Linked DNA regions of Saccharomyces cerevisiae S288C. Changing the gene in region 1 together with any one later gene gives a genetic interaction. Each region holds a gene or a part of one and is shown in the gene's direction. Other genes may lie near its edges.

Region 1 (4,024 bases):
TGTTACTCGCAGAATCATTTAAATTTCCATATTTAACACCAGAATTTCCACTCTCTTGGGTTGGTGATTTGTGCAGGTTCTCTGGTTTTTCTATTGCTATTCTTTTGGTAAATACCGCTGGGTATAAACCTTCCTCTTTGGTTCTCAAATTGCGCCCATAATACCAGCCGTCATTGTACTCCCCATCATCAGTAATGACTTTAATTTTATCACCTGGTTTCATATTGAGCTCGTCCTCCATTCGTTTAGAGTACTGATTTACCGCAATATACAGAGGAAAAGATTTGGCCCCTTTGCCTAGGGTATTTCCTTCGAGACTCATCTTCTATTTTTTATTATTACAGTGGCCTCCGGTCACCTCGAGTTAGAACTTTGTTGAAATTCAGTAAAACAATTGTTTCTTTAGACAGACGCAGTAAAACTGCTTGATAGAGCGAAGAATTGCCTTTAATTGACGCACCCAATTCTTCGGATGTAAATCAGAAAGTATCCTAAGGGAAGCGTATAGTTTTCAGTTTCTTTTTCCTTTTTTTTTTCGTTTTCTGCCAAATTTTTAGTGCCATGTTATTCATTTACCTTTCACGTCCTTTCGTTTGTTTTGGTACGGGGGAATGTCGTTTCCGACTACGCGGTTTCGAAAGTAGTGCAATGTGGCTGAGCTCTCCCCCCCACACGTGATAGCCTTTCTTACGCGTCAATAGAATAGAAAGCTCACATACTCTTGAATATTTGGTAACATCTTTTGAAGGACAAGTTCATACAATTATATGATATGCTTCAAGTTTTCCAGAAAAGATTTCTAGGCATGCCATACTTCCCTTTTTTTTAATTTTTGTCACGAAATCCTGGTATTTATTCTTGGAATGTATTTTTTTCTTTTGAAACACATTACCAACTCTTTTCAAAATCTCCAGGAATGGCAGAGAAGAAAACAAATTTTTATCTGCAAAACCCCGGAGAACACTCAAATTCCTAAATCATGACTGTACTGTTAAGTCATGCCGTAGTAAATATTGCACGATATCATCTTGATGTAAACTGGACTTCGTTTAGATCTACCAGCATACCAGCTCTACGTTTTCTGATAATTTAGCTCCACTTCGTTAAAAAAATTTACCGGCTGATAGGGAGAGAGTCACTGCTTCGATAGAGACTTTAATTTTAATATTACTTTCATCTTCATGCGGCTCGGCTCCCATGTATTCACCGCTCGTAGAAGGGAGAAGAGTTGGTAACTTTTCTTTTTCATTTCTTGCCCAAATATTGCGAACATGATAGCAGTTGATGGAAACGTAATCAGTTAAGTGTCTTAATTAGCCACCATTCAGAGGTCTTGGATGCATATATAACAATCTCGGCGGCTAAATCAAGATATTTATTTCCGGGTAAAGAACGCGTGGGTATATTTCTTTTTTTTTTTTCGGGAGAAGTTTTCTCAGGGTCCCCCCCCTTTGTATCTCTTAAGATGACCAAGTACGGTGACAACGGCAAAGCTCACTTGCTAATGAAGGAGTGAACACCTTCTAATTTCATTCAGGTTGCTTAGAAGTATTAGGTACCCAAGAAAGGTATAATACCGCTCACAAAATATTAAGATGCCATTTAATCATAATAGCAAGGCAAAAAGACCAAAGTTTCTACTGGACCTGCAAATCAAAGAATTGGTAAATATTCCTCAATCTTCTGGCTATTGCTACACGAAATGGCGTTTGAAGGATGGAACAGGTACGTCGGGACACAAAGTGGCTCTGGACGGTGAGCATCAAACCACTTCGACCCAGAGTAGAGGTACAACAAAACACGTGCATGTGCAACATCATAGAGCACAATGGAATTATTCATTAGACAAACCAATCCTGGTGAAGCTCCACTTGGATAAAAACGGCAGATTCTTGAAGAAAATTTTGGTGTTGGATGTTTTTTTTGAGTTTGCTGATGCGAATTCCTCGTTGACTTCTAGTTCTAGTCCCAATGGCAAAGTGAAGAAAACGACCTATGCTAACGCCACTGCACTAACGGCCACAGGAAACAATTCATATTCTCAAAAGATAACGGGTAAACTTCTATTGGGAACAGTAGACATAGATATAACAGAATACGTCAAAGAAGACGAAACTCCCACAACAAACAGATTTCTCCTAAAGCACTCAAAGGTCAATTCTATAATCAACGTCTCATTGCAGTTGAAGCTAGTTAGAGGCTCTTACGAAGATTTCAACATTTCCAAATCGTTTACTAATGGCCAGCTCGCTAATTACAGGCCAGGAATAAATACTATACTGGATAACACGTCTGAACTATCTAGCCCCACATCAACAACAAACCAGATGTCACCCAAGAATACATTCTCCAATTTTAACGGTATTGGAACAACTGTAGCGAAACCCGGTACAAATGCGACAGGAAACAGCACAAGTATTAAATCACCGACTTCTACCAACCACAAGAGTAGCGAAATGACAACAAAGCCAGGGCTGTCAACAACAATATCTTCCTCTATGAGCCCACTGATTGAGAGCTTGTACCAGAAAACGTTTAAATTACCGTGGGATCCTCGACCAGGTGAATTTACGCCAAGAGAATGCGTGGAAGATATTTTACAAGGCGGAAACGGTTGGGCTAAGAACGAGAAGGGCATAAATTTAATCGATTTACAGGCATTGAGATTGAACGAAATGGAAGAAGAGTACTACAATCCAAATTATGGCAATAACCTTGGGAACAAGGCAAGTAGTTGGCCTCCAAATCCAAGCGATGACGGCTACAGCACAATGGGCAAAAGAGAGTATTTGGAGAAAAAGCAGAATTGGAGTCATATGTCACGAGCACAACGTGCAAAACTGAGGACTCATAATGACGAGGATAACGAAAATACGGCTAATGATAAAGGGAGCGACAAGGATAATAACTCTGTCGAAGACAATAACCCCACGGACTTTTTAACAGATAGAATAAGAGAAAACAAAAACTGGTCTATAATAACCCCATCGGGCTAGAATATTTGTATTGTTTTATGTAATTATAATCTTAAGCTTGCAATACCAATCACTATTACCATGTTAATGATCCCCCAGATAAAAAGACAAGACAGAGCATATATCAGACTACATTAACATCTGTACACCCCCAACTGCTTTGAAAAACCCATGCAGTTATTATTTTCAACAGACCAAGTTTTTTTATCGCTTATCCGGCTCACAGAACGAGCCGTACAACCGTCATCAGACTTGCATGGAAATGTTGAAAAAGAGGTAAAAAAGAAAATATCAAACCCAAACACGCTCGGGCTGAAAAATTAATATGGCAGGAAACGAACTGTAGCCATAATGTACCTGTTCCCGCTAATAGTAATACCATCGTATTGCTAAGGTTAGTAGCTAAAAATCTCTTACTTTCTTTATTTTGACTCTTAGGTCTTACAAGCAATACAAAACCAACACACCTATATATAACTAATAATGTCCGGTAACGGTGCTCAAGGTACTAAGTTTAGAATCTCAGTATGTTAAAATTTTTATTTTCCACAATGCAATTTGGTTAAATTGATCATAAAGTAAAGTTCCAAGATTTCATTTTGCTGGGTACAACAGAATTAAACAGAGGTTTAAAAGACGCTAAACACTAAGTGTGAAGCCTGATCATATACCTATCGGTGTTATTTTCCATAAGAATGGTAGATGTGCCATCACTGGTACCGCCCCGCCAAAGATGCAATTACACACATAAATTCAGTTTTTAAATGGTTAAGCGGGCTGTATTTGCAGATGAAGTGATACCTGTCAATATTCATGGACTCAAAAATTTCTGGTTTCAAAATCATACACGGCAAGCATATCCTAACTCCCTCTTTTGCCCATACTAATGGATAACCATCGAAATGTTATTTCTACAAAAATCACGCTTAACTCTATTTTTCAAGATTAACCACATCTGCTAACTTTCTCCCTATGCTTTTACTAACAAAATTATTCTCACTCCCCGATATTGAGATCTTTTTTAACTAGTTAGGTCTACCAGTCGGTGC
Region 2 (3,739 bases), on another chromosome or scaffold:
GAGCAAAACAAGTCAAACTCAGTTATAGAGGAAATAAGTGAAATAGAACCTCTCAACCTGGAATATAATAAAAAAAGCGCGTTGTACTCTGATACATCGTCCACCGTTATCAGTATCTCAACGAGCAAGCTTTTTGAATCTGCTCAGAATAGTCCTCTAAAACAAACTCAAAATCCACAGAGAGAATTTCCCAACGGGACCAGCGTGAGTGAAACCAATAGAATCAGATTATCCATAGCACCCACAATAGAATCTGTTGTAAGTGATTTGAATTCGATTACCACTGGTAGCACAGTTGAAACTTTCGAAACGTCCAGAGATTTACCAGTGCCACACCAAAGGATAATAAATTTGAGAGAAGAATATCAAAGGGGTAATCAAGATATAATCTCAAATACTTCTTCATTGCATGAGTTAAAAACAATTGATTTAAGCGATTCCAATAATGACCTAGAAAGTCCAAGTACCCATGCGAAAAACAACAAGTATTTTTTTTCACCAGATGACGGTAGCATTGACGTTGCTTCTCCAATGAAAAACGTTGAAGAGCTGAAAAGTAAATTTCTGAAGAACGAGAGTGAAACTAATAGTAACATATCAGGAAGTGTATTGACAATGGACGATATCGACATTAATGACACATCTAGTGCCCGGAACACACGGAGAGCAAACTCTGAGTCGGCTTTTACAGGCTCCTTGAATAAGAAAAATTTAAATGAAATTGCTAATATGCTCGATGATTCAATTAATGACGATCCAATAACCGTGGCATTAATGAAACTGGAAGGTACATACGAGAAAATTCCCGAAAAACCAGAGAACACCAAGAGTAGTGACGCTATTGGAATTAAAACGAGCAAGTTAGCAGATGAAGTGGAAATGCTAAACCTTAACAACTTGCCGTCATTCCAAAATAGCCCCGCAGAAAAAAGAAAATCGTTATTAATAGAAAGAAGGAGACAAACTATAATGAATATCCCCTTTACTCCAGATCAATCCGAGAAGGAAGGCTTTACTTCCTCCTCTCCTGAAAAAATAGACGTGTCAGCTAATGTTGATGTTGCTGTGCAAGCGGCGCAAATCCAGGAATTAATCGGTCAATACAGGATTCACGATTCGAGATTAATGATTTCTAATAATGAAAGTCACGTTCCATTTATACTAATGTACGATTCCCTGTCTGTAGCGCAACAAATGACCTTGATAGAGAAGGAAATTTTAGGAGAAATAGACTGGAAAGATTTATTAGATTTAAAGATGAAGCATGAAGGCCCACAAGTTATAAGTTGGTTGCAACTACTAGTAAGGAACGAGACCTTATCTGGCATTGATTTAGCTATATCCAGATTTAACTTAACTGTGGATTGGATTATATCAGAAATACTTCTTACCAAGAGCAGCAAAATGAAAAGAAATGTCATTCAAAGGTTTATACACGTTGCAGACCACTGCAGGACATTTCAGAACTTTAACACATTGATGGAAATCATTCTAGCCTTAAGTTCTTCAGTTGTTCAAAAATTCACTGATGCATGGCGTCTGATTGAACCAGGCGACTTACTGACTTGGGAAGAGCTAAAGAAGATTCCCTCGCTAGACAGGAATTATTCTACAATAAGAAATCTACTTAACTCTGTGAATCCACTGGTGGGTTGCGTCCCTTTCATCGTCGTATATCTTTCGGACCTATCAGCAAACGCAGAGAAGAAAGACTGGATCTTAGAAGATAAAGTAGTGAATTACAATAAATTCGATACGAACGTTCAAATAGTCAAGAATTTCATTCAAAGGGTTCAATGGTCCAAGTTTTACACTTTCAAAGTTAACCACGAATTGCTGAGTAAGTGTGTTTATATTAGCACATTAACACAAGAAGAGATTAATGAACTATCCACATGAGGTATTGTGCCACTTTCCTCCAGTTCCCAAATTCCTCTTGTAAAAAACTTTGCATATAAAATATACAGATGGAGCATATATAGATGGAGCATACATACATGTTTTTTTTTTTTTAAAAACATGGACTCGAACAGAATAAAAGAATTTATAATGATAGATAATGCATACTTCAATAAGAGAGAATACTTGTTTTTAAATGAGAATTGCTTTCATTAGCTCATTATGTTCAGATTATCAAAATGCAGTAGGGTAATAAACCTTTTTTTTTTTTTTTTTTTTTTTTGAAAAATTTTCCGATGAGCTTTTGAAAAAAAATGAAAAAGTGATTGGTATAGAGGCAGATATTGCATTGCTTAGTTCTTTCTTTTGACAGTGTTCTCTTCAGTACATAACTACAACGGTTAGAATACAACGAGGATATGTCCGACGAAATTGTTTGGCAAGTGATTAATCAAAGTTTCTGCTCTCATAGAATTAAGGCACCTAATGGTCAAAATTTTTGCAGAAATGAGTATAACGTCACTGGGTTGTGTACAAGGCAATCATGCCCACTTGCCAACTCCAAGTATGCAACAGTGAAGTGTGACAATGGGAAACTGTACTTGTATATGAAGACGCCTGAAAGAGCGCACACTCCTGCCAAGTTATGGGAAAGAATCAAACTATCCAAAAATTACACGAAGGCTTTACAACAGATCGACGAACACCTACTACATTGGAGCAAGTTTTTCCGTCATAAGTGTAAACAGAGATTTACAAAATTGACGCAGGTCATGATAACAGAGAGACGTTTAGCATTAAGGGAGGAGGAGAGACACTACGTTGGTGTAGCACCAAAGGTCAAAAGAAGAGAACAAAACAGGGAGAGAAAGGCATTGGTAGCTGCCAAGATTGAAAAAGCCATCGAAAAAGAATTGATGGACAGATTAAAGAGTGGTGCTTACGGTGATAAACCATTAAATGTTGACGAAAAGGTCTGGAAGAAGATAATGGGTCAAATGGAAGAGGAGAATTCTCAGGACGAGGAAGAAGACTGGGATGAAGAAGAGGAAAGTGATGATGGGGAAGTTGAATACGTTGCAGATGATGGCGAAGGTGAATACGTTGACGTGGATGACTTAGAAAAGTGGTTAGCTGACTCTGACAGAGAAGCTTCCAGCGCCAGTGAAAGCGAAAGCGACAGTGAAAGCGAGAGCGACAGCGATAGTGATGAAGAAAATAAGAATTCAGCCAAGAGACGTAAGAAGGGAACTAGTGCCAAAACTAAACGTCCTAAAGTCGAAATCGAATACGAGGAGGAACACGAAGTTCAAAATGCTGAGCAAGAAGTGGCACAATAAGCTCACGCACTATACTACGCAACATTACATGATTTCAGTTTCTATTATTGAATGAACAGGATTTTTCCACGTGGATTGGGCAGCGCACTGTACCATAATAACAACCAGTTATAAAATATTTCAATTCTTTTACATATATAAAAATACATAAAGACTATTATTTTTGTAAGATGGCCCATTCTGTAACACTTAAATTTCTTATCAAAAAAAAAAAAAATAATACCTTTAGTAGCTGTTGGGCTAATAACATTGCAAATTAGAAGCTTACTATTAGAAGCTTACTATTACGGGATTATTGAGGTAAAGGTTATTTGAAGCGTAAATCACTGAAATCTTCCTGATCACGTGATTGGCTTTTTTTGCCAGAAAACCCAAATCTGTTTAATGCCACTAAGTTGAAGAAACATATAATCAACAATTGTTGGCAATTCTAAGGGGAATAGTGCAACAAGAAGCCAGTAACGCCAAATAGAGGTTAGCGCCAAGCAATAATTTACTGG
Region 3 (3,598 bases), on another chromosome or scaffold:
TTCAATTTCCCGACTTTAAGATTGTCCAACCAAACTTTGAGGGTCACAGATCTATTACTTGCCCTTAAAAAAGTGTTAATCAAGGTTTTAATAAAACATACTGGGAGATTTATTGGTAATAAATTGAAAAGAAATTCTAAGGAGAATAAAATTGCTGACGACACTTCACCACTGAAGCAACTCACAACTTATAATTCCTACACGGAGCCTGAAGAACTTCGTTAAAAACATTCAAAAAAAATTTATAGTTTTTCATATCTCTTAATGTAGCATCATACATATCAATATGTTACCATGTTTCAGACCTTTATTGCTGTACTACATTGAAATACCTAGGATTCGAAGAACAAAAAACATCATATAGGTCTTCCATTAGTAATGCCCATTATTTACTTAAAGTAAAAAAAATAATGGTCTCTAGCGGGATCGAACCGCTGATCCCCGCGTTATTAGCACGGTGCCTTAACCAACTGGGCCAAGAGACCATGAAAAGGACGTCAAAACAAGGTCACACGAAAACCATAACCTGTAGTATAAATATAAGACATCTCAAGCACTTGTTATTAATTAGGGAAATAGCTAACAGCATTTGAACGATAACTAAGGCAAACAATCCTCAGTAGTAATCGTTGGAAAAAAGATCTGAGAACTAGGTGAATTTTGTGATAATTGTTAAAATTCCATAGTTGATAAAGGCAATAACATTATGTATGCAGGATATGCTGAAGTTCTTCTCGAGGACATATGAATCCTCAAAGTGGAATCGGTAGTCCTGCACTATAATATTACAATTATTTTTCCTTTCGTTTTATATGCTTACTTATCCTATTACATTATCAATCTTTGCATTTCAGCTTCCATTAAGTCAGATGACTGTTTCTCAATCTTTATGTCGTCTTTTTATACCGCATATGATAATACACTTGTAACATGAACACTGGTCAATAGATGATGATAGGGTTTCGTTCCAACACCATCACGTTATCAATTCTTTCGTGTCAACTCCTCATTTACGTTATACTCTTTACATTGTGTATGGCAGTATACTAGTAGTGAGAATACTAGTCAATAGGTTATAATTGATTTTTATTTTAACAAGTAACATCTTCGGAAAAGCGACTACTATTCAACTAATAATCATCAATTTTTACTTCAAGAAAGCATAATAACGTCTGCATTTATGTGTGAGCAGGACTGAGCGATTCTGAGGGCACTTGTATTCACCAATTTGCAATAGCTGATCTTTACAATCTGCATGTTCCGATAACAAAAATAACTTGTAGGATAAATCCTCAGAGTTACATCGGTGTGTCAGGGAATGAACAGATAAAAGAAATAACGTCGCACTGTAAAGTGAGTAGCAGCAAAATTAAACTATTCGGACATTTTAAAACCCTATCAGTCGCCTTGGATGATAACCTTATTTCAACCACCTATCAATGAAAATGGCTTAAACTTCCCCAATTAAAAAACTCTGCAATAGCGTGTTGATTTCTTCCAGATTGATAGTTTGGTACAATACGGAAGAAACAAGGTCTCTCTCCATTTACATTACGGTAAGCTGTTCTTAATTGAACTTTGAAACATCCAATGGCGGGTAATAATTATAGTATTTTTCTTTTCTATTTTATTTATTTTTTTTTTTTTTTTTGATTTTCTAGAATAATCAATCAATGGTAAATAAACAAAAGTTGCTTCTGTTGTAAAAAATACATCAAAGGGGCTAAAATATCAATATACGTTTCGTTAAGTTCTGCAGAGAGATTTGGACATATCTATTTTTCTCTCAGATATTTGTTATTGCATATTGTGAGTTGACTACTGGTAAGCTTATATTGGAAGTTTCACAAGCATTCTTTTAGGACCTACAGTCGTTGCTCCTCCTGGCTTTTTTTCCCTTTTATTTTTTTCTGTTTTTACTTCCATTTCTTTTGTGATATTAGCTATCCCTGGTTTGGTCCGCAAGTTTATGACAAAAGATATTAGAACAGGCGATTTAGTGTTATGCAAAGTTGGCTCGTTTCCACCTTGGCCAGCTGTAGTATTTCCACAGCGTTTGCTGCGAAACGATGTATATAGAAAGAGAAAATCCAATTGTGTTGCTGTTTGTTTTTTCAACGATCCAACTTATTATTGGGAACAACCCAGTAGATTAAAGGAGCTAGATCAAGACAGCATTCACAATTTCATATTAGAACATAGTAAAAATGCAAACCAAAGGGAATTGGTCAATGCTTATAAGGAAGCAAAAAATTTTGATGATTTCAACGTATTTTTACAAGAAAAGTTTGAAGAAGAAAACAGGTTAAGTGATCTAAAAGCGTTTGAGAAAAGTGAAGGTTCTAAAATCGTTGCCGGAGAAGATCCCTTTGTAGGTCGAACAAAAGTAGTGAATAAAAGAAAAAAAAATTCAATATCCATCAAAGAAGATCCGGAAGATAACCAGAAATCAAATGAAGAAGAAAGCAAACCGAACATCAAACCGTCCAAAAAAAAGAGACCCACAGCTAATTCGGGAGGAAAATCAAACAGTGGCAATAAAAAGAAAGTTAAATTAGACTATTCCAGAAGAGTAGAAATTTCACAGTTATTTCGCCGCAGGATTCAAAGAAATCTAATCCAGAGAGAAACACCTCCTACTGAGCATGAGATCAAGGAAACTCATGAACTATTAAATAGAATATATGAGAATTCTGACACCAAACGGCCCTTTTTTGATTTGAAGGCCCTACGCGAAAGCAAATTACACAAGCTACTGAAAGCAATTGTTAATGATCCTGACTTAGGCGAATTTCACCCACTTTGTAAAGAAATTTTACTGTCCTGGGCAGACCTAATCACAGAACTGAAGAAAGAAAAGTTGCAAGCGCTACCTACGCCTTGATAATAATACTTATTGAATCAATTCAATATATCAACGTTTCAATATCCAATATTGTTTCATTTCATTTCATTTCAAATAAACAGTGTTTTACCGTTTGTTTTGTTTCCCTTCTTTTTTTCATCAAATGGTAATATTAAATTGATTTAATTATCCATCCATAAAAATTGTATTAATAAGTCATACACGTAATGTCACAACAAAATATCAGGCGTACTCTTGTGACGTACCAAAGCGCTTAGAAACGATAAAGGCCCGGGACAGAAATTTAAACGTCACAAGTGGGTGCAGCCCAGTTAACACTAATGTTAACGCACTTCTAGATACCTCATATATATAAATATTATCTAGAATTTCAAATTTGATATTCCTTTTCTATACTGAATAAACGATAAATACGAAGTTCAGAGTGCGAAAATTAGGGTTGCAGGCGTCTGATCTGAAAAACGTATAATTGATAGTGAAAATTATGCAACATTCTGCAAAGGAAAGTAAACCTTAAAAAAACAAATCTCTCAAGCCTTTAAAGATGAAACTCAATGAACAAATACCAAAAGACCTGTTACGCCTGATTAAAAGTTCCAAGTATGTTCATGTGGCGACATGCTCGTCAAATTGTATACCATCTGTTTCGTTGATGCATTACATATTTGTTTCATCCGCGGAAACTTTCCATAAACATGAGTATAGTATAGAAATAGATTGTAATGACTATAT
Region 4 (3,979 bases), on another chromosome or scaffold:
AGATCAATGAACTGTCTAAAAATAAGGCCACCAAGATCTTCACAGGAGTAGGTTCTCAAGGTATGGAGGATAAGGCCACCTTTGTTTTCTTCACAGTGGATGAAAAAGCACCCTCATTTTTCAATAAATTTTACATTTTCTCGAGATCTGGTAGCGTTGTGAAGAATGACGCCAGGATCTTGGACTGCTTTTTCAACAGTGTGGCAGAAAATAAGCTATTGAACAGGTCAATATTAACTCAGATCCTTTCACATACGTCTGCCAAGACCCTATTTCACTCGGGGAATTCTAGATCATCCATCAAGAATATCGTGAAGCCCAAATAGGTACGGACATCTACGTAAGAATGCATGTAAATAATAATCGAATAAAAGAACAATTAAACACTTGTATATGCACGCTATATCTACAAGAATCCAAACAGTCTCAAGATGTAGTCGACTGCCAAGGCGTACGTAAAGTAAAGTCCGGTGTTGATATTTGCATTAAAATACTTCCAGCAGTTTTTAGGATTGTCAAGATCCACTTTCTTTATCATGCTGAAGAGTCTATAAGCGAAGACTCCTAGTCCACCAATGAACCCAGGCCCCCATAACAACCCACTGTTCAAGCCGGCGACAGCTAACAGTGCGATTTGAGACGCGGACATGGCCTTCATGATAGACTTTGTGCGTGGACCCCAAGCCAAAGCGGTAGACTTGATTCCAGCCTTGATGTCAAACTTTTTATCCTGGTGTGCGTATATAGTATCGTAAGTCATACACCACAAGTAACTGCTCAGGTACAAAGGTATCATTGTAGGCCAGCTCATTACACCCATGGCAGGAAACCCAAGTAACGCTCCCCAATTGAAACATGCACTTAATGCAGCTTGAGGATAGTACGTAAACCGCTTAAACAAAGGGTATGTGAACACAATAGGTAACGATGCAAGGCCTAGCCACCAACACTGCGCAGGAAGCAAAGATAGAACGCCCATTCCAACAAGAGTTTGAGCCCCCAAGAATACTAACGCCCGACGGGGGCTCACTCTACCAGAGGCGATAGGCCTCTCGACGGACCTGATAACTCTTTGATCCAACTTTCTATCCAAAAAATCGTTGATGGTGCAGCCAGCACCTCTCATTACCAATGCACCTACACCGAAAATACCCAACATACCAGCTGTTGCGCTCAATGTAGCACCTTGCATCATGGCTCCCATAAGTATAGACCAACTGCAGGGCAAATATAACAGCCACGTGCCCACGGGTTTCTCTAGCCTCATCAGCTCCGCATACGGTATCCATTTCTTAGGCAGCCGAGACACGAACGGTCCCAGTCCATCCAATCTTTCCTTTCTTGCAACTTCCAACTCTTTCGACGTAAACACAGGTGCTGATTCTTTCGAGGAAGGGGAGGAGGAGGAGGAGGAAGAAGACGTATATCTCTTTCTGCTGCTTCCAATGATTCCAGCAACGGTAACTCGGCCGCTGCCCAGAATGGACCTCCCTAGTAAAATACTCTTTCTCTGCCAAATAAACATTAGTTGACACTGTTATTCTACGACAGTTATTTCTACTGTAATCTATAGTATACTCCGCCCTTCTGATAACCTTACTTTTAATTTTGGCCTGATTCTTGTGAAACTTTTCCACGATGCCGAAATCGCCGAAATGGCTCGTTTAGCCTTTTCTCGAAGATTGATATATAAAGAGCATCCATCGTGCTGGTAATGGTGATGCAAGATTGAAAATTCCCAGACAGTGAGCACCAGCACAATGACCGTTTACACAGCATCCGTTACCGCACCCGTCAACATCGCAACCCTTAAGTATTGGGGGAAAAGGGACACGAAGTTGAATCTGCCCACCAATTCGTCCATATCAGTGACTTTATCGCAAGATGACCTCAGAACGTTGACCTCTGCGGCTACTGCACCTGAGTTTGAACGCGACACTTTGTGGTTAAATGGAGAACCACACAGCATCGACAATGAAAGAACTCAAAATTGTCTGCGCGACCTACGCCAATTAAGAAAGGAAATGGAATCGAAGGACGCCTCATTGCCCACATTATCTCAATGGAAACTCCACATTGTCTCCGAAAATAACTTTCCTACAGCAGCTGGTTTAGCTTCCTCCGCTGCTGGCTTTGCTGCATTGGTCTCTGCAATTGCTAAGTTATACCAATTACCACAGTCAACTTCAGAAATATCTAGAATAGCAAGAAAGGGGTCTGGTTCAGCTTGTAGATCGTTGTTTGGCGGATACGTGGCCTGGGAAATGGGAAAAGCTGAAGATGGTCATGATTCCATGGCAGTACAAATCGCAGACAGCTCTGACTGGCCTCAGATGAAAGCTTGTGTCCTAGTTGTCAGCGATATTAAAAAGGATGTGAGTTCCACTCAGGGTATGCAATTGACCGTGGCAACCTCCGAACTATTTAAAGAAAGAATTGAACATGTCGTACCAAAGAGATTTGAAGTCATGCGTAAAGCCATTGTTGAAAAAGATTTCGCCACCTTTGCAAAGGAAACAATGATGGATTCCAACTCTTTCCATGCCACATGTTTGGACTCTTTCCCTCCAATATTCTACATGAATGACACTTCCAAGCGTATCATCAGTTGGTGCCACACCATTAATCAGTTTTACGGAGAAACAATCGTTGCATACACGTTTGATGCAGGTCCAAATGCTGTGTTGTACTACTTAGCTGAAAATGAGTCGAAACTCTTTGCATTTATCTATAAATTGTTTGGCTCTGTTCCTGGATGGGACAAGAAATTTACTACTGAGCAGCTTGAGGCTTTCAACCATCAATTTGAATCATCTAACTTTACTGCACGTGAATTGGATCTTGAGTTGCAAAAGGATGTTGCCAGAGTGATTTTAACTCAAGTCGGTTCAGGCCCACAAGAAACAAACGAATCTTTGATTGACGCAAAGACTGGTCTACCAAAGGAATAAGATCAATTCGATATGTAACATTTTTCTTTTCTTTTCTTTTCCTTTTTTTACAATAGCTAATTTACGTTTCCCTACGGTATTGGTCGGAACGACCAAGCTTCAATTTATAAATATCTTAATTTTAACAGCAGTTACCACTTGAATGAGAAACTTTTTGATGCCTACTCTTTTGCTTTTTCATATCATGACCTCCCTACATGCTTCGGAATTTCCTTATTCGTAGCTGTCTAACAGCACCACTTAGCACAAGTACGTCCACCCGTTTCATACTTAAAGATCTCAGCAGCCACCCAATCTACATTTAGGGTACCTGTCACATATCTTCTCAAATTTTAGGTTAGCTTTCAATTGTAAAGTCTCTTTTTGGATATTGCACGTTTCAAGTCAAAACGCGGCTGTAACATAATTTTCTGAAACAATATTAAAACATAGTAATGACTTAAAACAAGCGACTATCGCAAATAAGCAGTTCCCAGCAAGCAATTAAAACGTATATAAGCGCAGAATAATGATCTATCATCAATAATTATCGTGAACTTTTCCAGTATTTACGTTCATCTTTGAAAAACGGCGAGCATTAACAATAAAAGCTAAAAAAACCAAAAAATTTCAGATGACATTATCTTTCGCTCATTTTACCTACCTGTTCACAATATTGTTGGGATTAACTAATATTGCCTTGGCATCTGATCCAGAAACGATTCTAGTGACGATAACCAAGACAAACGATGCAAATGGGGTTGTTACAACTACAGTTTCACCCGCGCTAGTCTCCACATCCACTATCGTTCAAGCTGGCACTACGACATTGTATACGACTTGGTGTCCATTGACGGTATCCACTTCATCTGCTGCCGAAATAAGTCCTTCAATATCGTACGCTACTACCCTATCCAGATTTAGTACTTTGACATTATCTACAGAAGTCTGCTCCCATGAGGCATGTCCTTCGTCATCGACGTTGCCAACCACCACCTTATCTGTGACTTCCAAGTTCACTTCATATATTTGCCCTACTTGTCACACAA

The links.
Region 2: mutations in YBL086C (region 1) and MAK16 together harm fitness less than expected from each alone (positive genetic interaction), as found in Saccharomyces cerevisiae (one large-scale study listed by BioGRID).
Region 3: mutations in YBL086C (region 1) and PDP3 together harm fitness more than expected from each alone (negative genetic interaction), as found in Saccharomyces cerevisiae (one large-scale study listed by BioGRID).
Region 4: mutations in YBL086C (region 1) and MVD1 together harm fitness more than expected from each alone (negative genetic interaction), as found in Saccharomyces cerevisiae (one large-scale study listed by BioGRID).

What each region holds. Positions count from the first base shown.
Region 1 is NC_001134.8:60,174-64,197, reverse strand, and holds YBL086C (uncharacterized protein), read left to right. Parts: upstream 1-1,595; coding exon 1,596-2,996; downstream 2,997-4,024. Other genes in the region: BOI1 (Boi1p), read right to left, coding at 1-322; 60S ribosomal protein uL14 RPL23A, read left to right, coding at 3,459-3,500, 4,005-4,024.
Region 2 is NC_001133.9:99,725-103,463, reverse strand, and holds MAK16 (ribosome biosynthesis protein MAK16), read left to right. Parts: upstream 1-2,318; coding exon 2,319-3,239; downstream 3,240-3,739. Other genes in the region: mitotic regulator LTE1, read left to right, coding at 1-1,899.
Region 3 is NC_001144.5:1,051,660-1,055,257, forward strand, and holds PDP3 (Pdp3p), read left to right. Parts: upstream 1-1,969; coding exon 1,970-2,884; downstream 2,885-3,598. Other genes in the region: FMP27 (Fmp27p), read left to right, coding at 1-225; YLR456W (pyridoxal 5'-phosphate synthase), read left to right, coding at 3,411-3,598. UniProt on the Saccharomyces cerevisiae protein: Histone-binding component of the NuA3b histone acetyltransferase complex. Targets the NuA3b HAT complex via histone H3K36me3 to the coding regions of actively transcribed genes to coordinate transcription elongation.
Region 4 is NC_001146.8:700,135-704,113, forward strand, and holds MVD1 (diphosphomevalonate decarboxylase MVD1), read left to right. Parts: upstream 1-1,760; coding exon 1,761-2,951; downstream 2,952-3,979. Other genes in the region: MRX15 (Mrx15p), read left to right, coding at 1-326; COQ2 (4-hydroxybenzoate octaprenyltransferase), read right to left, coding at 407-1,525; AGA1 (Aga1p), read left to right, coding at 3,565-3,979. UniProt on the Saccharomyces cerevisiae protein: Diphosphomevalonate decarboxylase; part of the second module of ergosterol biosynthesis pathway that includes the middle steps of the pathway. MVD1/ERG19 converts diphosphomevalonate into isopentenyl diphosphate.